2 linked regions of the Danio rerio genome follow. The protein of the gene in region 1 purifies or fractionates together with the protein of each later gene. This does not show direct contact. Links are inferred from orthologs where the notes say so. Each region holds a gene or a part of one and is shown in the gene's direction. Other genes may lie near its edges. The genes, in order: coro1a and ift57.

What was found.
Region 2: the proteins of coro1a (region 1) and ift57 purify together in Homo sapiens (affinity purification with mass spectrometry; 3 studies listed by BioGRID and IntAct, counting the BioPlex papers as one, with this or other methods). This does not show direct contact. The link is inferred for Danio rerio from reciprocal best matches to the Homo sapiens genes CORO1A and IFT57.

The regions. Positions count from the first base shown.
Region 1 is NC_133178.1:29,722,651-29,726,484, reverse strand, and holds part of coro1a (coronin-1A), read left to right. Parts: intron 1-263; exon of another isoform or gene 264-417; coding exon of another isoform or gene 418-561; coding exon 562-759; intron 760-3,416; coding exon 3,417-3,539; intron 3,540-3,834. UniProt on the Homo sapiens protein: May be a crucial component of the cytoskeleton of highly motile cells, functioning both in the invagination of large pieces of plasma membrane, as well as in forming protrusions of the plasma membrane involved in cell locomotion.
Region 2 is NC_133177.1:45,212,026-45,216,610, forward strand, and holds the start of ift57 (intraflagellar transport protein 57 homolog), read left to right. Parts: upstream 1-1,544; 5' UTR 1,545-1,682; coding exon 1,683-1,819; intron 1,820-3,099; coding exon 3,100-3,274; intron 3,275-3,362; coding exon 3,363-3,481; intron 3,482-4,557; coding exon 4,558-4,585. UniProt on the Homo sapiens protein: Required for the formation of cilia. Plays an indirect role in sonic hedgehog signaling, cilia being required for all activity of the hedgehog pathway.

The DNA.
Region 1 (3,834 bases):
TTATCCTCCAACATCCATAGTACACTGTTAACAATTTCCTGTAGAATCTACTACAGCAAAAATCAAGTATTTATACTTACAACAACATTTAGTATATGTATTTGCAGTGTTGAGATTTATCTTAACTGCAAAATATAGTCATTTTCACAATGCAACTTTAAAATACAGTAACATACTGCATAACTGTCCTACTGTAAAATCATTCATTCATTCATTCATTTTCTTTTCGGCTTAGTCCCTTTATTAATCTGGGGTCGCCACAGCAGAATGAACCACCAATTTATCTAACATATGGTTTATGCAGTGGATGCCCTCCCAGCCGCAACCCAATACTGGGAATCCTACAGGAAAATACAATTCATATTAGAGTGAAATACTGCGTCATTTACAAAAGTCTTTAACAGTGTAAGAAACACTATGGACGTCAATGGCTACTTTTATTTACAACAGAACAAAGCAAATCCTAAAATGTCTAAACATTTGAGTAAATGGTGTGTGCATTTCATTAGTTTGCTGATGGGAGGTCATCTATCCCTGTTGTCTGTCTTTCCTCAGGTCATCATGTCTAGGAAGGTGGTCAGGTCCAGTAAGTTTCGCCATGTCTTTGGCCAGGCGGTGAAGGCGGACCAGTGCTACGATGACATCAGGATCTCCCAGATGACCTGGGACAGCAACTTCTGCTCCGTCAACCCCAAATTTGTGTCCATGATTGTGGATGCCAGCGGTGGAGGAGCCTTCATTGTCCTGCCCCTGAGCAAGGTGCATCCAGATAGCAAGTCAGACTCATAAAACTTCAGCTATCTAACCTCTTTTTAAAGCCAAAGTCAAATAACAAAGACAGTATTTTATTAAAATATTAAAAGAGTAAAGTTTAGGTTAGTAGTTTTAGGCCTGTTTGCACTTTTAATCGATTAGCTGATGGAAATGTTCTGCTATAGTCTTTACATTTTGAACACTAGACGTGTCATGCAGTTTTTGTCTAAATAAGGAAGTTCAAGGTTGGGTTTCGTATGTACGTGTCACCAGATCGAGCATCTCTTCTCTTTATGCTCTCTTGCATCTTGTTTTTGCCATATTTGGAGTGCGTTGCTGTCAGCGCTGCACAGGATGTGGTGACAGCTTGCAGATTGAGTGAGTGACAAAAACTGTGAGAAAAGGACAGCTGCCACTTAAACTTCATCTTGATGTGCCCGCTTTCTTCATCGTGATCAAACTAAATTTGAATGTGTAGTTTGCACTTCGTTAAGCATTATAGCTACAAAATAATTTGCAGCATGGAAAGTTTTCTGTCTTCCTCTTTTCATCAATTGTTTTGTTTCATCTTCTCGGTGCATCATCTCTGCTCATCTGTTTTCATAGTTCGCTCTTTCTGCACTTGTGAGTTTTACGCTGGCGAGTGAATGGGAGTTCTGTCATGTTCAATCTGCTGTGCGTCTTAAACTCAATGGCTGCCATTGTTTTCCCAATGAACACGAGAATTCGAGTCAAGGCCTTTCATTTCGTTTTGGGTGGCTTGAGGAAGTTTTGAAAGCCTAGTTTTTGAGACTCGTAATGCCATCATCTGGTTTTACACAAACTTGCAGAGTTCACATGTGGCATTAAAGGCAGCATTGTGCAGAAAATGCACATCCTTTTCCTTTTTGTTTTTCGATTAAAGGGATAGTTTACCCTAAAATTTAAATTTCATCATCATTAACTCACACTCAAGTTGTTATAAACCTTTATGAATTTCTTTCTTCTATTGAACACAAAGGAAGATATTCTGAAGAGTGATGGAAACCAGCAGCCATGGACATTCATAGATAAATACACTAATGGAAGTCAATGGCTGCTGCTTTCCAACATTCTTCAGAATATCTTCCTTTGCGTTTGACAGAAGTAAGAATTTCAAACATGTTTTGAACAAGTGAAGGATGAGTTATTGATGACAGAACTTTCATTTTTAGGTGAGCAATCCCTTTAAATGATAAAGGCGGTAATTTAATCTGTAATTAATGTTTTGTTTTCATTATATGTTAATGTAGACAGGATTTTGACTCTTTGAAAAAAAAAAGGTGTTGTAATTAAAATATTTGTCACTAGATAGTCATTGAATTCGAATGTCGTTTGATGTTTTTTTATTATAATTTATTTAGTAATATTTATTTATTTATTTATTTGTTTGTTTGACATGGACATCACAATTACACTGGACAACCAAATGCATTTGTTCAAGTGTTTAAGCAGACTTGCTAATTCTCAACACCTGTCCATGCGAGGCTTTACAGAAAATGAAATAAAATAGATACATATACACAACATTAGAATTCTTTACATAAAATTGCTGTAAGGCAAAAGCAAAGTTGGTATGATCAAACAAACTAATAGTAAACTATTTGCCACCAAAAATGTAGCTTAAATGGGCTAATAACATTGATCTTAAAATGGATATTTAAAATTAAAAACTGCTTTTATTCTAGCCGAAATAAAACAAATAAGACTTTCTCCAGAAGAAAAAATATTATCAGACATTTAGACATACTGTGAACATTTCCTTGCTCATTTAGACATCATTAGGAAAATATTTAAAAATAAAAAAAATGAAAAGGGGAGCTAATAATTCTGACTTCCACTGTGTATGTATATATATATATATATATATATATATATATATATATATATATATATATATGTGTGTATACATACATACATACATATATATATATATATATATATATATATATATATATATATATATATATATATATATGTGTGTGTGTGTGTGTGTGTGTGTGCATATATAAAGAAATTAAATTAAAGAAATTAATTCAATTAAGTAGTGGATACAATTTAAGGTTTGTATCTTAAAAAGGTCACTGTCAGAAGAATTTATTTGGGTGCTAGCATTCCCTCCTGATGAAATCATATTACCAGTCATATGCAGTCATTTTTGACCATTATTTCTTTTTTAAGTTTTAACCTTTTATTTTGATAACGTAAAAAATTCAGAAAAGAGAGTTTCTTCTAGTGTTTTTCATGATTACATTTCAGCATTATTTCAAGTAACATAAAAGGAGTTTTCAGTATTTGCTTAACATGGATTTCAGTCAATTTTCTAGTTTTTAAATTAGTGCATCCCCTGTGTGGGAGTAATAAATCATAAACCATTCCTCTACATTGACTTGCACAGACCTCTAAGATCTAACAATAAGAGTAAATGTGCTCTCCAGAAACTCCTGCATGGTGCTGTCCTCTCTAAACGGGTTGGTAGTTATTAGGCGTAATTGAAGGCATAGCTATAAAATTGAGATCAGCTGACACAGCCTTCTCATCTGTCTGAGATCTCTCGTGCTCTTTCTGCTCTGTTTGTCAGCAATACAGCTTTCATATTCTACATTCCTTTGCTTTCCTCTGTAACCCTTTGTTTTGTGTTTTAGACGGGTCGTATTGACATGTCCCAACCCACTGTCTGTGGACATACTGGACCCGTGCTGGACATTGAGTTTTGCCCACATAATGACAACATCATTGCCAGCGGCTCTGAAGACTGTAGTGTCATGGTGAGTGACAAGGACTTCATGGTTTGGTCACATGACATTTGTGACCAGAGACCACAAAACCAGACAGAAAGGGTCCATTTTTAAATTTTTTCTTATAAAATACAACCACCTATTAAATAAGCTTTCCATTGATGTTTGGTTTGATATGATAGGATTGTATTTAGATGACATACAAATATTTGAAAATCTGAAATTTGAGAATAATGAAAAAATCCCCTTTAAATTTGTCTAAATAAAGTGCTTATGCACTTGACAACTCAGAAATTAAGTTTTAATGATTTATGGTAGGAAATCC
Region 2 (4,585 bases), on another chromosome or scaffold:
TAGAGACCTAACACGAGGAACACACTGCTGCACAGTTTATCTAGGGACAACAGAATACAATAATGTGTTAAATACAATTCATCATTCAAACAGCTTTTCTCATTCAGAAAATAAATATGGGAGAAAATGTGTAAAATTATAAAACAGTGTTCAAAAGGTTTTTTAGGTTTTATCTTAATATTGAGCAAGAGCATTAATCAAAAAGTGACAATAAAGGGTTTATTATTGTGACATAAAATATCCTTATAGTAAATGCAGTACTTTTGTAAATTCAAGTCCATCAAAGAATCCTGAAAAAGTATTATGAATTGTAATATTTTAATATTACTTATTTGCTGTAAATAATACAACTTTGGTGAGCACTAGGCATGGGCCGGTATAAGATTATGTTGATATGATAACCTTGGATAAAAATATTGTGATTACTGCTCTAAAATATATTCTTTTTAAATGTCTTAGTAAAAAAAAAAAAATTTCCCCCTTTCAATACAATATATTTTTTATTTTGAGAACAATTTAAAATATTGTGGGACTGTAAACATGTCAGGCTAAATAAATGAAATGAATGGACTTCTCTTGTCTTCATTAGTTTCAAAAACACTGATTTATTTACGATTTCGAACAGCATGTTTGGATATCTATTCTGCTAAAGATACTGTTGTCTTAAAAAAAATAATAATAATAAAAATTGAATAAAACAATCCTCCATATACCGAAGGAACAGTATTGCAGAAAATTCTGCCTTGACTTTTTCAAAGCAGTTATCATTCATTGTCTAGTGAGCACAACCGACTTAAAAGACTCAAAAGACTGAAGATTTTTCATATAATAATAAGTAACCACATTTATAGCATAAAGAAAAAAAATAAACATAATTAGATCAGCACAGATAACCTTAAACCATAACATTGACTATAAATGACTTTCATGTGTCAGACATTGAGTTGTGTTGAAAACCAAAATACTTAAAAATCACCGTTTAAACTTGTAAAAACCAAAATAATTACTCTCTGGTTTTTGTAACATAACGTATTTTATGCCCTTACAATGGTTTTACTATACATAAAACAATAAACAGAGGTAATTTACTGTGACTAAACATAACAGTTCTGGCAACTAGAAATCAACCATGGTTTGTACTTTGAAAGTGTGGTGATGATAATAATTATTTGTTTTCCATTCTTATTGTTAACACACACGCATTTATTATTAATTATGTTATTAATAAAGAGTCAGTTTCAAAGAACCAGCAAGAAAAGCAACATATCTTTTCGATTGGAGTAACGTTAGATATGGAGTCGTTTCTTCTCCGCTCCAGCGTGTGGCAGCACTGTCAGACTACACACGGTAACATTATAAAACTCTTAGCCAAAATCAGATTTCGGCTCGCTGCTTTTTTTCTATTCAATAATTATGCATAGTCATTGATTATTGATTATTTATAGCTTTCTGTTTATTATCTGTGACTATTCAGTAGATACTTTTACTTTGTTTGCTGTCATGGCCGTCGCTGTGTGTGACGTCATTCCTGACGACAGTAACTACAACATCCCGAATCCGCTGCTGCAGAATAGCCGTGTATATATCTGTCTGTATTCGTACCTGCAGTGTTAATAAAAGCTTTAAACTAATTTCCCTTTGCGAGTAAAGATTGTTAAATGTGAAAAGAGAAAGAGAGAGGGATGGCGGAGGAGGAAGAGCGCGGTCCGGGCTCTGTCTATCAGATGTTCGTGTTGATGGAGGATCTGCTGGATAAACTGAAGGTTCTCGATTATGAGCAGCACGTTCTGGACAAACACAACATCAAACCTCTGTCCAGGTAAGAGAGACTCGGAATGTGGATTAGAAAGTATTTGATGTAAATAGCATTACAGTTAAAGTGAAATCTCTCATCATGAATTTAGTATCGGGTTTTACAAACCTGGATGAGTTTTTTTCTTCGGTTGGACATATAAGATAACATTTTGGACAACATTGGTAAACGAGTAAAGTTAGTTTCTGGTCCCCATTCACTTTTATAATATGGAACCTGTAAGAAAATGAACGTTGCAAAGTAGATAGAGTTACTTTTTAGCCGTCAGTTTATAGTAAAATCCACTTATCATATATTATCATAAAATGAAAATTCTGTCAACATTTACTAGAATGATGGAAACTATATTGACAAAAATATTATCAGTCAGTGGCTGTTGCTTTCCAACATTTTTTATAATATCTTCTTTTGTGTTCACACGTTTAAGACCTTTAAATTAATATAAGTTTAATAGTAGAATAAGAACAGAAATAGCCGTTGCTATTTTTATTTGTTGTACACACAAAAGCATCTCTCGCAGATTGATAAAATTCTGATTGAACCACTGGAGGCGTATTTCTGTTTTAAGGATGTTTTTTGTTATTTTTCTGGATGACTCAGAACCATTGCTGTCTATGGAAGATGAGAGAGCTCTCAGATTTAATCTAAAATATCTTATGTTGTATTCTGAAGAGGAACTAAGGTCTCTAACATGTCAGGATAATATACTTTTGAACAATGTTTGAAGAAGTTGATATCAAAGAGACTGCGTGTTATAACGTAGACATCAGAAAAAGTAAATAAGAACATCAGAGTGAGTACAGTGCTCAGTGAGTACACCACATTTTGAAAATGTATATATCTTCAGTGAATATAGGCAATGTGTTTTGGTGCATTTAAACAAAGCAGATTTATTAAACAGATATATTTATATAAATAATATTTTGCTCACCAAACATATTTATAAACTGAAAGATAATACAATTAAATTCAAGCAAAATATTACAAAATTTCAACTAAATTTTATTTTCTTTTTCTTGTTTTTGCTTTTTAAAAATTGTATTTAATATTTTTCTATAACATATACATTTGGTTGTACTAGTTTTATTTAGTTACATAAGTTCTAGATTTGGCTTCAGTACTGACTAATCTAATGTATATGCACAAATATAATACTGTATAGCTTCCTATTCAAAATATAAATTTAAAAGATAGATTTGTGAGGGGTGTACTTATACATGCTGAGCACTGGAAATAATGACTGATTTTTCATTTCAACTTTTGCCTTAATACTCTGTATTTTTCAGACATTATTTTGTCTCCAGCCCTCATGTGTTGTCAAATCCCGGTGAGCAGTTCTATATGTTCAGTGTAATTGCTGCCTGGTTGATTACATTATGCGGGCGACCGTTCGACACACCACAGGAGTATGACGACCCCAACGCCACAGTCTCCAACATCCTGTCTGAACTTCGAACCCTGGTGAGGCGATAACACTGATTACACCCTCACAAATGTGTATGGGTGTATGCATTTAGGTTTATGATTATCATCTGTATGTGATTTGTAGGGAGGCCAGGTTGATTTCCCCCCATCTAAGCTGAAGACTGGGTCTGGAGAGCATGTCTGTTATGTTCTAGACCAGCTGGTAGAAAAGGCACTAAAGAGTAAAGGTTTTGCCTGGAACAGGTACACATATATTTAACAGCACACACTATGGGCAGGGGCGGGTTTAGCGAATCGGGGACCCTAGGCAACTTCAGCCATGGGGCCCAAGTCCTGATGCACCTTTTCTACTTTTTTTTATTTAAATGTATTTATTTTCTGTAACTCAATCTTCTTTTTTTATGGTTTATCTTAATGCAATCTTTACAACCTTTACATACGATAACAAATATATATATATATATATATATATATATATATATATATATATATATATATATATATATATATATATATATATATATATATATATATATATATATATATATATAATCATAGATTTACTGCTGGACTGCTCCATGATAGGGGAGCTGGATATTTTGTTTCATAATATTAATATTACAAAACATTACATTATTAAAATAATATAAGATTTTACTGTATATTAAATAATATTTAATTATGTACAAAATATCTCACTATACAAAATATGATAGAAATTATGTTTTATATATAGTTTATAAGTATAATCTATACTTCTAGATATTTATTGGGGCCCTAAGCGGCCACTTACCTTGCTTATTGGTTAAATCCGCCCCTACTATGGGCTTGTTTACACTTGGTCACTTCATGCGTTTTTGCTGACTGCATAGCTATCTGATTTGTTCAAATAGTGCCATGTACATTTGACCACATGAATGCATCTTCGCTAAATTAATATGATTCCTTGGATATCTTCAAATCTGCTCTATATACAAATTTAACTAGTTTATGTTGACTAAAGCATCTGATACATTTTATTTTATTTAAATAGTATTCGCTTTTACACAAATCTAATCTATATTTTTGATTCTGGATACAAATGCTTTTATATGTAGGCTCCTGGAGGCTTTGTGTTTGAAACATCCTCATAATAATAAAAAATAAAAAAATTGCATGAAGTGACAAAGTTTAAACCACACATATGAGCTTACAACAGGTTGAGATCATTTTCTATGGTGGTTTAGGGGCACAGAAATCTTTTAGAACCACGAATTTGTCTAACTGTCTGTTCTTACTGTATACAAACACATCTAGAGCTTGTATTCTCTGTCTGTCAGGCCGCTGTACCCATCAGTGGAGGTGGAG